Elephas maximus indicus: one gene and its partner. The protein of the gene in region 2 binds, or shares a complex with, the protein of the main gene of each other region. Links are inferred from orthologs where the notes say so. Each region holds a gene or a part of one and is shown on either strand. Other genes may lie near its edges.

Region 1 (6,862 bases), on a different chromosome or scaffold from region 2:
ATACACACGGGGTCGCCATGAGTTGGAATCAACTCAATGGCAACTGATATTCTGACTATTTCGACTTTATGACATCATAAATATATAAAGCAGGAGCCAAATTGAAAGAGCTCCCACTTTACAAATACGGGACAATTTGAGCATGGAGGATAACCTACTAAACAAAATAAGGATCTATGAATGAATGAATAACAGAGAGAAGGGGATATTCTTCTTTATAGTACAATGCTAATTAATAAATGTAGAAAGAAAAATGGGGTTAGAAAGTCGCCATCTTACGGCCATCATAGTAATGATTTCTCAGGCAAGAATGATCAACTGATGCTAACACTAGTGGGTGAAAGTATGATAAGAAACAGGATAGCTACATGTTGTAGTGCGCCATCGAGTTGATTCCAACTCATAGCAACCCTGTAGGACAGAGTAGAACTGTCCCATAGGGTTTCCTAGGCTGAAATCTTTACAGGAGCAGATTGAAAGGTCTTTTCTCCAACACAGCCACTGGTAGGTGGGTTTGAACTGCCGACTTTTCAGTTAGCAGCTGAGTGCTTAACCATTGTGGCACCACGGCTCCGATAGTTACGTAGTTTCAGGATAAACCAGTTGCTATCCAGTAGTCCAGGCCATCCCAACTTACAGCAACCCCATGGTGTCAGAGTAGAACTGTGCTCCTCAGGGTTTTCAACGGCTGGTTTTTCTGAAGTAGACTGCCAGGGCTTTCTTCCGAGGCACCTCTGGGTGGACACAAACCGCCAACCTTAGCAGTCTAGTACATTTACCATTTGTACCACCCAAGGATTGCCTACAAATTACTTAAAAGTAACAAAGGAAGAATACTAACTTTACAGTGGTGAAACCTGGTGAACTCCACTTTAGTCAAGTGACTAAAGTTAACTTCACCAAAGATAGGATAAACCCAACATATTGTGCCTCCTAACATGATGCATTGAGAGCATAACATCACTTCTGTGATAGTCCTGCCAAAAATACATAACCTGAATCTAATCAGAAGGAACATAAGACAAACCCATATTGAGACAATGGACATAATTTTTAAATGACTGTAGATTAGATAATATTGTATCATTGTTAAACACTTCCTGATGTTGATCATTAAATTGTAGTAAATGAACCTCCTTGTTCTTACAAAATACATACTAAAAAATTTTGGGGAGTAAAGGGGCACGTCTGTAACATACCCTCAAATGGTTCAGAAAAAAAATGTATACATGTATAAAGCAAATGTGTCACACTGTTAACTGGTGAAACCCTATGAAGAGTTTTAAGAAGTCTTTGTACTATTCTTGCAACTTTTCTGTAAGTTTGAAACTATATCAAAACAAAAAAGCTAAATATGTGTATGTGTATTTGTGTGTCCTGTTTTGGAAACGTTCTCGTCATTCTTCATACACTTATCCAAATCATTCATCAGTACTTAATGACTTTACAGCAGCCACCTTAGCCTGACTTCAAATTTTAAAAATAAGTCAAGGTCAAAGTCTTTAGAAAACAACAATAAAAATGTGGAAATACTATCTATGCATATTGGGAAACTGTGTACATAATAAGATAATTACATAAACTAATGATTCCATTTATTCTGTTAGCTCTACAAGATCACTGAGTCCTAAATTCTCTCCACCAAAAGTATCAGTTCACATATACCAGACTTCCAACCTGTCCACAAAACCACCTTCCAATTACTGCTTCCAAGAGTCTATGATTCCTGGAATTTTCCCAAATCCACGACTTTAACTTGTTTATGTTTATATCCTCTGAGGGGAAAAAAAAAAAAATCCCCTCAGGGAAAGAGAGGACACTAACCTGAAGGATGTAAGTTTGAACTTTTTAGAAGAAAGGGAGTTAGGATCTTTTTAAGGAGCAAAGATTAACTACTAGAAAAGAGTTTACAGACATCTAGAAAGATCACTAGCTATGTCTCAGGGAAAATATGCTCCCCTTCCCCGAACCCTCCAAAAAATAAAAAACATCAGGGAAGTTTCTGACCTAAGTTTAGCCATCTAGTTTCTCATTTAACCTAAGCGTCAATGAGAAACTCTACAGAATCCACAATATAAACTATTGTTACTTGTAATTGGTCAATCTCCAATACTGTCCTCTCGTAAGATAAGGACAAAAATATATTTTCTCTCAGCCCCTCTCACAGAATGCAGGGAGAAATGTTCACTATTCAAAGCACCCAAAACCTACCACTACCAAGTTCCCTGGCTGTTTAACCAACAATCTACTAGTTTAAAAGCAGGTCAGCCTGCAGTACAAAAAGGACGCTCCCCCTTTCAAAATTGGCTAAAGCCGTTGAAGTGGATTATTGGTTTTGCACATCCAATCACCCAAAACCAGCCCTGCCCCACTGGCCGGAGCGCGCGTCCACGCCCCCTCCCCCCGCACCTGACCCAGCAGCCACAATGCGCCCAGTGGAGACATTTTAATTCTTCCAGACGTGTCAGCTTCCAGGCCGAGTCCAGGCTTTAAACTCTCCCAGGAGGGCCTCCCCGCAGCGACGTTTTGTTCCTTCGGGGAAAGATTTTCTAGGGGCATCGCTGCCCGCACCCCGCCGAGCGTGGAGCACCCAGGACGCCTGGCAGAAGGGAGAGAGACCTAAGGGTGGAAAGGGGGACTGGGGAGAGGGCGGGACGGAAGGAGGAGGGGCAGCAGGAGCGCAAGTTCACTACTCGGGGTCACCCTGACCCCCGACCTCTGACCTGTGCCCGAGCTAGCGGCCCCTAAGGATCAGGGGCCAGCCCCAGTCCCAGAGCCTTGGGCCTCGGCACCGAGCTCCAGGTCAGGATAGGCCTGCCTGCCACAGGGCCAGTCGGGCCTGTCGGAGCCGGTGACCTTCTCCAAGACCCTCACTGGGACGACAGGTTTTGGTGGGATCGTCACCGAGCTCGGCCTCCACGACTGCACTCACCGCCCGCCGGAGCTGCCCAGGAGCTGCCGCTCGGAACATGGTGTCTGCGACCGTCCTCCCCGCCGCAGCCTCGGCCTCACGGCAGCCCCCCGCCTGGCAGCCACAGCACCGCCGCCGCCGCCAGTCACTCCAAGTCTCGCGAGACGAGCGATTGCGAGCGAGCGCCCATTGGGCGGTGCGCAGCCAATGGGGACGGCGGAAAGGTGGGGCGGGACTCGGGAGTAGGGTAAAGGTGAGGCCGTTGGCTGGGAGGCTCTGCGAGGCGGCTGAACGGCGGAGGGAAGCCGGCGCGGTCTGCCTCGCAGCCCCACTGTGGGCAGCCTTGTTCCAGCGAACTTTACTACTGAACTGATGATGTTACTCTCCTGGGTTCCCAGGCCTCAGGATGAAGTCCACCCCACTCACTCTATTCATTCATTCTCTCATTCATTTATTCACAGTTATCGACTCTGTGGCTGTAATGTGCTAAGCAGTTTTCTAGGTGGTGGTGGTGGTAGTGCCGTCGAGTGGGTTCTGACCCGCAGCGACCCTATATGCAACAGAACAAAACACTGCACAGTCCTGCGTCATCCTCATGATCGTTGTTATACTGGAGCCCATTGTTGCAACCACCTGTGTCAATCCATGGGTCTCCCTCTTTTTCGCTGACCTCTCCCAAGCATGGTGTCCTTCTCCAGGGACATCTAGGTGAGAGGAATATAATAAAAGGATGCATAAGGTGTTGTCCTGCCCTTGGGGACTTCACAGACTCTGGAGGAAAAATACAAATAAGTATATAATTTCTATTATGTGAGGAAGAGGAGTAAGAAAAAGAGATGAGGGTTCACAGAGTTGGTGATATTTGAGCTGGATTCTGGAACAAGGAACTGCGTGCGTAGTCAAAAAGAGGGGAGGACCATGAAATGACTAAGGAGTTGGGAACCCAACTTGAGCATAAGTTGTATCCACTTCAGACATGTTGGCGCTCGTGTGGTGGTCGAGGGCTTTGGGACCCACCAGTAAATCTGTATGTGGGATACCGGGAGGGGCAATTCAGTATTATGTTTATCACTGCATTTGCCTCCCAACCCAGCTCCCCACTGAACTCAAATTTGAGTCCTATAAGTGCAAGGAAGAAGAAAGAGTACTTTAAGTAAAAACTGAAAGGGATATTTTACTAAAAAACATGCTAAAAATTGGGATACAAGCTAACCTCCTTCCCTGCCCCCACACCTATGACAAAGCAAAACACGAAAGGGGAGAGAAGCTCCCCCACCCACGCTGGGCAGCTTTGGCACCCCAGAGGTTCCAGTGAATCAGCAGCAGCTGTGGCCAGCAGAGGCCCGTTGCCCATAGGACATGGTGGTTTCTAGCAGAACAGGGCCAGGGTAGACAAAGAGCCCAAAAATTGGAAAGCCTGTGACAACTGACCAGATCTGTTTCTTGGGCACACAAGAGATGCACCCCAGGGATGTTACAAGTGGGGAAAGTGCCAGAGAAGTGCAGACTACAACATTGCTATTATTTTCCCTGTACGTATTTTGTGATCTGTCTCTACCTCTCAGGTACTAGCTGCTTCGTGGCAGGAACCCTGGTGTTAAATATCTGGTTTATGTTTGTGGATGTTCAGTGAGTGAGTGTGAAACTTTGATGAAATTGGAAAGGAAGGAAGAGAGGGTGGGAGGAAGTAGTCACCCCTTGAAGACTGACTTCAGCCTATTTGGAAAAACACCTCACTGTCCTCTTTTGTCTTTACAGGCCAGTTTCAGGAGCAGCTCCCAGGATTCTGGCAGGCCTCTCTTTCTAGTGGAAACTTAGAAGAGGAAGGGTTAGTGGAATAAACTATAACCCCCAGGCTGCTGCAACTACTGATACTCATTGTCTCCTTCCTCCTTATCTGTTGCCATTGAGTGGATTCTGACTCATGGCAACCACATGTGTGTCGGAGTAGAACTGTGCTCCATAGGGTTTTCCATGGCTGATTTTTCAGAAGTAGATTGCCAGGCTTTCTTTCCGAGGTGTCTGTGGGTGAATTCGAACTGCCAAGAGCATGTTAACCATTTGTACCACCCAGGGACTCCTCCTTTCTCCTTATCTATTCTAAATTCTCCTCAGCCTCAGCCGGCAGCTCTGATGACCACAGTGGCCAACCCGTTGCCACATAAACCAAAATACACTACAGTAAATCCACCAGCAAATCTTGTTGAATTAAAAAAAAAAAAAAATCCTGTTGGCTCTACCTCCAAAAATACCTCAAATTTGACCTCCTCTTGCCACTTTTTGCTGCTTCAACCCTAGTCCAAGATGCCATCATCTCTCGCGGGAATTATTGCAACAGCCTCTTAGCTGGTATCTTAGCTTCCACATTTGTCTCTACAGTCTATGCGCCTCAGAGCAACCAGTGATGTTCTGAATACATAAATCATACCTCATCATTTCCTGCTCAAAACCCCCTCGTTACGTTGGGAAAAAAGAAAGTCAAAGCTCTTGGCATGGCTTCAAAGCTCACCTTGCTCTGGCCCCTGCCTAGCACTCCAATTCATTTCCTCTTTCCTTCCTTTTTCTTCAACTCCTGTTGTTGTTGTTGGTTCTCACTGTGTTACAGAGTAGAACTGCTCCATAGGGTTTTCTTGGCTATAATCTTTTTTTTTTTTTTTTTTGTCCTTTAGAAGAAGGTTTACAGAACAAACTAGTTTCTCATTAAACAGTTAGTACACATATTGTTTTATGACGTTGGTTAATAATCCCATGACATGTCGACACTTTCCCTTCTCAATCCTGGGCTCCCTACTACCAGCTTTCCTGTCCTCTCCTGCCTTCTAGTCCTTGCCCCAAGGCTGGCTTGCCCCTTTAGTCTCGTTTTGTTCCATGGGCCTGTCCAGTCTTTGGCTGAAGGGTGAACCTCAGGAGTGACTTCATTGCTGAGCTGAAAGGGTGTCCAGTGGCCATATTCTCAGGGTTTCTCCAGTCTCTGTCAGGCCAGCAAGTCTGGACTTTCTTTTTGAGTTACAATCTTTTCCTACATTTTTCTCCAGCTCTGTCTGGGACCCTCTATTGTGATCCCTGTCAGAGCAGTCAGTGGTGGTAGCTGAGCACCATCTAGTTGTACTGGACTCAGTCTGGTCGAAGCCATGGTAGTCGTGGCCCATTAATCCTTTGGACTAACCTTTCCCTTGTATCTTTAGTTTTCTTCATTCTTACTTGCTCCCAAAGGGGCGAGACCAGTGGAGTATCCTAGATGGCCACTCACAGGATTTTAAGACCCCAGATGCTACTCACCAAAGTCGAATGTAGAACATTTCTTGGCTATAATCTTAACAGAAGCAGATCATCTCCAGGTCTTTCTTCCATAGTGCTGTTGGGTGGGTTCAAACTCCCAATCTTTAGCTTAGACATTGAGCACAAACTGTTTGTGCCACCTAGGGGCCTTCCGTGTCCTACTAGTCCTCAAATATAGAAGCCTGATCTTGCCTCAGGGCCTTTGCACTTGCTGTTCCCACTATGTGGAAAGCTTTTCCACCAGATCCTCTATATGGTTTGCTCCTAGTCTTCAGTCAGGTCTCAGCTCAAATACCACCACCTCGTAGAAGCTTTCCCCTACCACCACAGCTATCCCCTTCCTCCTTTTTCCATCCCCTTACCCTGTTTTATTTTTCAGAGCAGGGACTTTGTACTGTTCACTATTGTATCCCTGCTACCTAGAACAATGTCTGGTCCATATCAGAACTCTGTATGTACTTTGTGAATGAATAAATGAATGAATGCATGGATGGATGAACATATTTGCCTATGTATGCAGACTTCACAGGGCCCTTGGCCTGCACTGATCTCTCCCTCCTCCTCATCCCTCTGGTCTTTGCCGTTTGTGTCACAATACAAACATTTCATTGTATCCCAGGGGCCAGCTTGAGTCTTAGGTTGTTATTCACTTTATTTTATTGTTTGACATTT
Region 2 (7,275 bases):
TGGTCTGTCAGGAAAGGAAGCAGGTTGGTGTTCTGGAAGCACAGAGGGTGAAAGAGGGACAGAGGGGACTGACTGAGAAGGGGCAGAGGCAGGACCACAAAGGGTCTCAAACACCAGGCTGAGGGGTTGGGACTTTGTCCTGAGGGTACCAGGGAGCCATGGCAGTGCTGTGAGAAGGGGAGGGGGTAGGGTCAGCTCTGGGCATAGAAGACCCCTGAGGCTGGTAGGGAATGGATTGGACATGAGAGACTGGAGGCCAGTGAGGTGGCTGGGGTGAGGGTTCAAGTAAGAGAGGAGGAGGCCTGAGCTGCTGGGGCCATGAGGAAAGAGAAGTGAGATGCAGAGGCCAGGAGGGATGGGGCAGAGGATTGAGAAGAAGGTATGTGTTTGTACCCAGGGCCTGACCCGGTTAGTAGCTGGCAGTGCTTGAATCATTTATTTGTTCAGAAAAGGCCATTCACAGGCACATTCAGGGTAAAAGACAGGATCTAGGAGCAGGAGCCCGGGGACACTGTAGAGGGGCACGCAGCACCAACACTTGGGAAAGGGCAGGAGCGGATCCAATGGTGCCTTCACACTTCCTCTTTGCTCTCTCCTTGAACACACAGGAGGCACCCACATGCCAGGCCCTGTGCTGGGCTATGCTGGGACCCAGAGTGGAGTCAAACCCGGCCTGCCCTCAGTCTCATGAAGGAGATGGATACAACCACAGACATCTCAGCCCAGGGAGAGCGCAGCTTCCACACGGGCAAAGGGAGGCACAAGGGGCTCTGGGGGCCCAAAGGAGGGACCCCAAGGAACAAAAAGGTAGGAGGAAACCAGGAGAATCGGGTCCCAGCAGCCCAAGAGGAGGGTGTCTCTAAAAGCCTGGAGACAGCAATCCTGTCCAATGCTGCCAGAGATGTCATTAGGCCAAGGGGCAGCAGGGTGCAGATGTGAAAAGCATAGGCCCTAGAGCCAGACTTGCCTGGATTTAAATCCTGACTGCCTTAGCCCGGGTATCTGGCAAGTAACAGAGTCTCCCTAGCCTCAGTTCTCTCACCTGTATAATGGGATTAATAATATCCAGACGGAGTTCCTGAGTGGCGCAAATGGTTAATACACGTGGCTAACAGAAAGGATGGAGGTTAGAGTCTGCCCAGAGGCACCTCAGAAGAAAGGCCTGGCAATCTACTTCAGAAAATCGGCCATTGAAAACCCTACAGAGCACAGGTCTACTCTGACACACTTGCGGTTGCTAGGAGTCAGAGTTGACTTGACGGCAATGTTTTTGTTTGTTTGTTTGTTATATTGAGAAGTTAATCTCTACAGAGGACTGAGAACACTGCCTGGCACACAGTACCAAAACTAAACCTGTTGCCATCGGTCGGTTTCTACTCGTGGTGACCCCACGTGTTACAGAGCAGAACTGCTTCAGAAGGTTGAGGGTGGAATCTTTACAGAAGCAGGTGATCAGGCCTTTCTTCTGGAGCACCACTGGGTGAGTTCGAAGTGCCAACCTTTAGGCCAACGGTTGACTGCAAACCATTTGTGACACCCAGGTACCTAGTAAGGACCCTCTAAACATTAGCTGCTATGAGCACTGAAGTTTTCAGGCCTAGGTCTGTCTCCTGTCCCCTCCTTCCCAGCCCACTCCTCACATAAGTAGGGACAATATCAGCATCAACTTCGTGGCCACAGTCTTATCCATTCTGAGGCCTCGAAGATGCAGGCCCTGTGCTGAGAGAAGCTGAGGGCATGGAGGTGAGCTCCCAGTCTGATGGCGTAGAGACACAGACAAACAGTCACCGCTTTCAACCTGCTTTAGGTCAAGTATTGAGAGAAACTAGCGTGAGGGACTGTGTCTGATTCACCTCTGTCCACACACGCTTCCCTCTGGGGACAAGCCAGGTCTTCAGAGATGCTGCCCCCTATCCCTTCCATGAAGAAATTAAAAGGACATTGTGGTTCAGTGATAGCATTCTCGTCTTCCATGCAGGAGATCCGCGTTCGATTCCCAGCCAATGCACCTCAAGCACAGCCACCACCCATCTGTCAGTGAAACTTGTATGTTGCTACGATGCTGAACAGGTTTCAGCGGAGTTTCCGGAGGAAGACAGGGTAGGAAGAAAGATCTAGTGATCTACTTCCAAAAATCAACCATTGAAAATCTGATGGATCACAACAGTCCAATCTCACCGTACATAGGGTCTCCATGAGTCAGGGGCTGACTCAATAGCAGCTAACAACAACCAGCTCGGTCAGGTTGGCTGCAACTTCCTTGAATTGAATTTTCATCTCTAAAAAACACTTTTTTTTCCTCTCTCTTTCTAGCTCAAGCCTTCTCACTCACCCTGTGGCTGCGTCGGGTAAAGATACCCTCTGGATTCTCACAGGGCCCTGTATGACCTCCATTAGAGAGCACTTTGGGGACCGAAATAGTAAATTTTGTAGGGAATGCAGCCTAGTGGGTTAATGCTTGGCTTGTGTGCAAAGCACGAGTTGGGGTGAGGAGTCAGAGTGAACTGGATTGGAATCTGGCCTGTACTTGTCCCTAGGTAAGTGACCTCTCTGTGCCTCAGTTTCTCCTTGTTAAACATGGACGATGACTCCCCACCAGACAATATGGAAGGCAACTTGCCCTGTATACAGTTATAAATCGTTGGAGAACTGGGGAAACCGGGGGATAGGGGGAGGAAGGGGGAAACGGGGTCATGATCTCAGAGAGGCCCGGGTCTGCGTGAAGAGGGATCGATGTCAGAACCTCACAGTCCTTGACCTTTGCCCCCAGATAAGACTGACGTGTGGGGGAAGAGCGGCAGAGGTCAAAGGTTACGAGAAGACCCCGAGAGAGTGTGCAATCGCGATCCCAGACGCACACGGCGGCGGGGCTCAGGGAGGTGGGAGAGGGGGCCCGGTCACCTTCACGGCGAAGTCGATGACCCTCTTGACACCCACGAGCGCGCGCAGCTCCGCCATCTTCCAGTATCACCGCCGCTGGCTGGAACAGTTCGAAACCTCAGTCAAAGCTCCGAAGCCCCGGCCCCGTCCCATTCTACGCTTGCGCACCGCTTCGCCAGCCAATCAACTGCCGTGGGGCCCTCCACCCCCCACTGAGGACCAATCAGAAGGCTAGAAGAGGAGGGCGTGGATGCGGACCAATAGGACGCGGACCCAAAGGAAAGAGCTTTGTGAAGGGGGCGAGGCCGGGAACTAGGTGAAAGTCGTGTCTGCGAGCGCAGCACTTCAGGACTGGGAATTCTCTCCGTCGTCCTAGACTCTTCCTAATGTTACTGGATCTCCCTTATCCCCCCACCCCCAGTTTTTCTCCTTCTTTCTTGCTCCCCGCGTCGCCATATCCGTGTCCCCACGCCCACCCAGTGCCGGCGTTCCCATGCCATCTCGTGTCTGTATCTTCAGGCCTCCATGTCCCCCCTGCCCGTATCTACCCATCCCTCCATGCACATGCCTTTATGTCCCATCATATCCGCGTCTCCCCGAACTTCGTGTCCCCACAGCCTCCCCATATGCCCGTGTCCCCTTACGACCCCAAGTGTCCCCTTTCCCCTCCAAACCCATGCCCCTTGCCCACTGTGTTCCTGCCTCCACGTCCGTGTTCCCCCGTGTCTCCACGTTCCCTCTGTACTCATGTTCTCAGGTCCTGCGTCCCCCCACTTTCATGTCCCCCGTGTCCGTGTCCCCACGTCCCCAGAAAGACGCGCGGAGCCGCTACGGCGGGAGCTGTAACTTTATTCTGCCCCAGGCAGGCCGCGGTCACAGGCACACAGGGAATCCACTGATGGCGTCGGTGCTCTGAACGATCATGTCCGCCAGCAGAAAGCAGAAGCCTGGCCGGAGGGGAGCAGAGGAAGGTGGGCCCCGGGGCCTGGGGTTTTGGGGCTCTGAGGGCATCTCTGGAGGGTCTGGGGGAATCGAGGGTGGAATGTCTTGGGGTCGGGGTCGGGGGCGGGTCCAGGTAAATAGCTGTGGGATTTTCTGGGAGGACGGCAAGGGAGTCTCTGGATGGGTGGGTGGTTGGGTGAAGGGTCCTTTGGGCAGTCTCCTCTACCCCACCGTCCCGGTTACCCGCGAGAATAGAAAAGGGTAAAGCCAGCCACCCCGAAAAATAGGACCAGGAGAAGAAGACGTCCGACTTCCACACATCCTTCACCGTGTAGCCTGTCATTGCGATCAGCAGCAGCAACCCTGGCCACCACACCCCGGGAGAGGTTGCACTGAAGCCACGCCCCAGACCTCCGCTCCGTTCCAGTCTCCGCCCTCTTCTGACCCGCCCCTCCTCCTGGCCTTCTGGCCGAACCTGCTCCTCCCTAGCCCTGCCCATCGTTCCAAGCCCCGACCCCTAGACTTCAGAGCCGACACCTCTCCTCCCCGCCACACCCCTGGCCCTGCCCCCTTCCACATCCTCCCCTCTGAACCCAGCCCGTAAGTCATCTCGGGTCCCGTCCCATTTTCTCGGGCTTCAGCCCCTCCCCTCGGCTCCCAGCCCAGCTCCTGATACCCCCCCACCTCGGCCCTGTCCCCACTTTCCCCAGGCCCACCCTCGGCTGCAGTCTCACCGCTGAGGAAGAAGATGGCGCTCGTCGTCTGGCCGCGCAGCGAGTCGCCCTGGTGGCACAAAATGCGCAGCCCCATGGCCATGCTCACGAAGCCAGAACCCGCAGCCAGCACCATGCACGCGCCTGTCATCGCCAGCATGGCTAGGAAGAGGGGGCCGCATCAGTGTGCCGGCACCTCCCCAGTCGCGACAGCCACACACCCCTACCCACCAGTCAGTCTTGGGCTGGGAGCCCCGCTCTGCCAACCTGGAGTCAGGCATCTGAATGGAGACCTGAAGGTTATCTCATGACCGGCGGTTAATGTCGCGACAGGTAGTTAATGTGATAGGGAAACAAGTTCAGAAGTTGGGGAGGGTGGTTCGTGGTGGCCTCAATTATGGAGGGGCAGCTGGGTCTGAGGTTGGGTTGGAAGGGGTGGTGGTGGTGGGGTTTCTCATGACATGTCCAGCTGTTGTGCCCGGAGGGGTGTGTCACGAGAGGACGCCTGCAGTGGTCTGCGTTGGGTACTGTATGTCTGGGGGAGGGGGAGGGTCGGACGCCTGGTCTGACGCCTGCGCGGGCGGGGCCTCACTCTGGCATGGGATGGTGGAACAGCCGCCGCTATTACACTCCTTCCACAAGCCGCTGTGGCCGTCGGGGTAGCGGGTCCAGTAGTTGGTGACAGTGGAGAGCACCATGAGGATGTTGGCTAAGAAGCTGAGCACGGTACCTCCGCTCTGAAGACTCCGCTTCACCCCCATGCCAGGGAGGCTGCTGCCAGGGGGCCACATAGGTCGCATTGGCCAACACCCCTCCTGCTCTAGGCCCTGGCTTCAGGACCTCCTGTCTCCCCGGCCATCTCCCCCAGTGTCTTCCTTCCCCCGACACACCTTTCATCCCCCCAAACTCCTCCCCCAGCATCCCTGCTTGGGGACCTGGAGACTCCTTCCCTCAAGCCTTTTTGTCCTCCTAACTGGGAAACCCTAAGGCTCCTAAGGAAACCCTGGTGGTGTAGTGGTTAAGTGCTACGGCTGCTAACCAAAGGGTCGGCAGTTCAAATCCGCCAGGCACTCCTTGGAAACTCTATGGGGCAGTTCTACTCTGCCCTATAGGGTCCCTATGAGTCGGAATCCACGCGACGGCACGGGCTTCTACTGGCACTGGCAAGGCTCCCTGCCTGGAACTAGGGGCGGGTTACCCAATAAACAAGGTAAACACTGGCTTATTTGTGCCTATTTACTAATCTGTAGTTAACAATTTAACATGTTTGTTTTTTTTTTTTAAAAAAGCCAAACCCGTGGCCGTCCAGTCCATTCCAATTGACAGCAACCCTATAGGACAGAGTAGAACTGTCCCATAGAGTTTCCAAGGAGCACCTGGTGGATTCGCACTGCCCACCTTTTGATTAGCAGCCCTAGCTCTTAACCACTACACCACCAGATTTTCCTACGGATTAGTAAATAAGCACAGGTAAGCCTGTGTTCACCTTGCTTACTGGATAATGTGTCCCTGTCAGGGATTATAAATTTTAAAAAAGGCTTTGATTCTGTAGGAGGGTGCTGTGGAGTTGAGAGAGAGACAGATACCAGCCATACCTAGAAGCAGAATCTTTGATGTGGTGAAAAAATATGACACTGATTACTACAGATGATCTGATAAGCAAGGTAAACACTGGCTTACTTTGCCTATTGAATAATCCGCCCCTACCTGAATTCTTATTCCTGGCGACCCTGGCGCCTCTGCCTCAGGTCCTCTCATGTGCCAGACCCCTCCCTGCAACCCTTTCTGGGGACCAGAGACTCCCTTCCCCCAAGACTACCTTCTCTTAGGCTTTCTGCTTAGGAAACTACTTAGGTCCCATAGACCTCCCCCAGTGGGATCCCCATTCAGGCCCTCCAGCACCCCATCCCCCACACACACCCCACCCACCTAAGTGACTAAGACTCGGTTCCCCAGGGTTTCTTAGACACCAAGCCCAGAGGGGTGGGGGGAGGGAGACTGGCTCTCTGTGAGGCAGCAGGAGTTCCAGAACCTTTGTCCCCAGCAGCCATTTAAAGGGATAAAGTTTCCCTCCCTCTGTCCTAGCAGCCTGAGGGGCATGCCATGGTAGATCATTTCCTTCTTCTAGAAACTTCTCTGTCTTTGACTTTGGAGGCACCACACAAACTCTCCTGGTCTGTGGCCTCGAAGTTCCTTCATACATGCTCCTCCTCCCCTCCACTTCTAAATACTCCTGTTCCTTGAGGCTCCATCCTGCACCTTCTTACCAGGTGAGCTTACTCACTCCTGCAGTTTCAGGAACCATTTATGTTCTGACAGCAACTAAAACCGCATCTCCAGCCATTTGTCCTGTCTGTCTGGATTACTGGAGTCTCTGGGTCGTGCAACAGTTAATGTGCTGGGTAACTGAAAAGTTGGAGGTTCAAGTCCATCCAGATGTGCCTCAGAAGAAAGACCTGGAGATCTCACTCCTGAGCCCTAGACTCCAGCCTCATCTGCTCCTGGCTCTCTCAGACCCCTCAAGCTCAACCACAACCTAAGTGAACTCAGCATCTTCTACCAAACTGGGATGGCCCCGCCCTTCCACCCACTTCATTGGGCTACACCCACTATTCTTGCCCTCTCCCTGCCCTTCACTCCACGAAGCCCTTGGACCTGTTCCTCCTGCCCCTGCATCTGCCTGGTTCATTCTCTCCTTTCCATCACATGCCCTGGTCCCCAGGTGGGCCTCATTCTACTC

The links.
Region 1: the proteins of ETFB (region 2) and ETFA are in contact, whole or in part, in a crystal structure (PDB 2A1U), measured with the Homo sapiens proteins. The link is inferred for Elephas maximus indicus from reciprocal best matches to the Homo sapiens genes ETFB and ETFA. Residues at the interface, in NP_001976.1 of Homo sapiens: Ile14, Tyr16, Val18, Ile20, Val22, Val29, Thr31, Phe41, Leu102, Arg106, Lys124, Gln125, Ile127, Asp128, Asp129, Asp130, Cys131, Asn132, Gln133, Gln136, Met137, Ala139, Gly140, Phe141, Asp143, Trp144, Pro145, Gln146, Thr148, Phe149; in NP_000117.1 of Homo sapiens: Glu27, Leu88, Pro89, Glu90, Ser113, Ala114, Phe115, Lys117, Asn118, Pro121, Arg122, Ala124, Ala125, Lys126, Glu128, Val129, Ala130, Pro131, Ile132, Ser133, Arg146, Thr147, Ile148, Tyr149, Ala150, Gly151, Asn152, Ala153, Leu154, Cys155.

Annotation. Positions count from the first base shown.
Region 1 is NC_064831.1:67,197,092-67,203,953, reverse strand, and holds the start of ETFA (electron transfer flavoprotein subunit alpha, mitochondrial), read right to left. Parts: upstream 3,018-6,862; 5' UTR 2,972-3,017; coding exon of another isoform or gene 2,933-2,971; intron 2,600-2,932; 5' UTR 2,560-2,599; coding exon 2,410-2,559; intron 1-2,409. UniProt on the Homo sapiens protein: Heterodimeric electron transfer flavoprotein that accepts electrons from several mitochondrial dehydrogenases, including acyl-CoA dehydrogenases, glutaryl-CoA and sarcosine dehydrogenase.
Region 2 is NC_064829.1:96,868,843-96,876,117, reverse strand, and holds the start of ETFB (electron transfer flavoprotein subunit beta), read right to left. Parts: upstream 3,019-7,275; 5' UTR 2,959-3,018; coding exon 2,902-2,958; intron 1-2,901. UniProt on the Homo sapiens protein: Heterodimeric electron transfer flavoprotein that accepts electrons from several mitochondrial dehydrogenases, including acyl-CoA dehydrogenases, glutaryl-CoA and sarcosine dehydrogenase.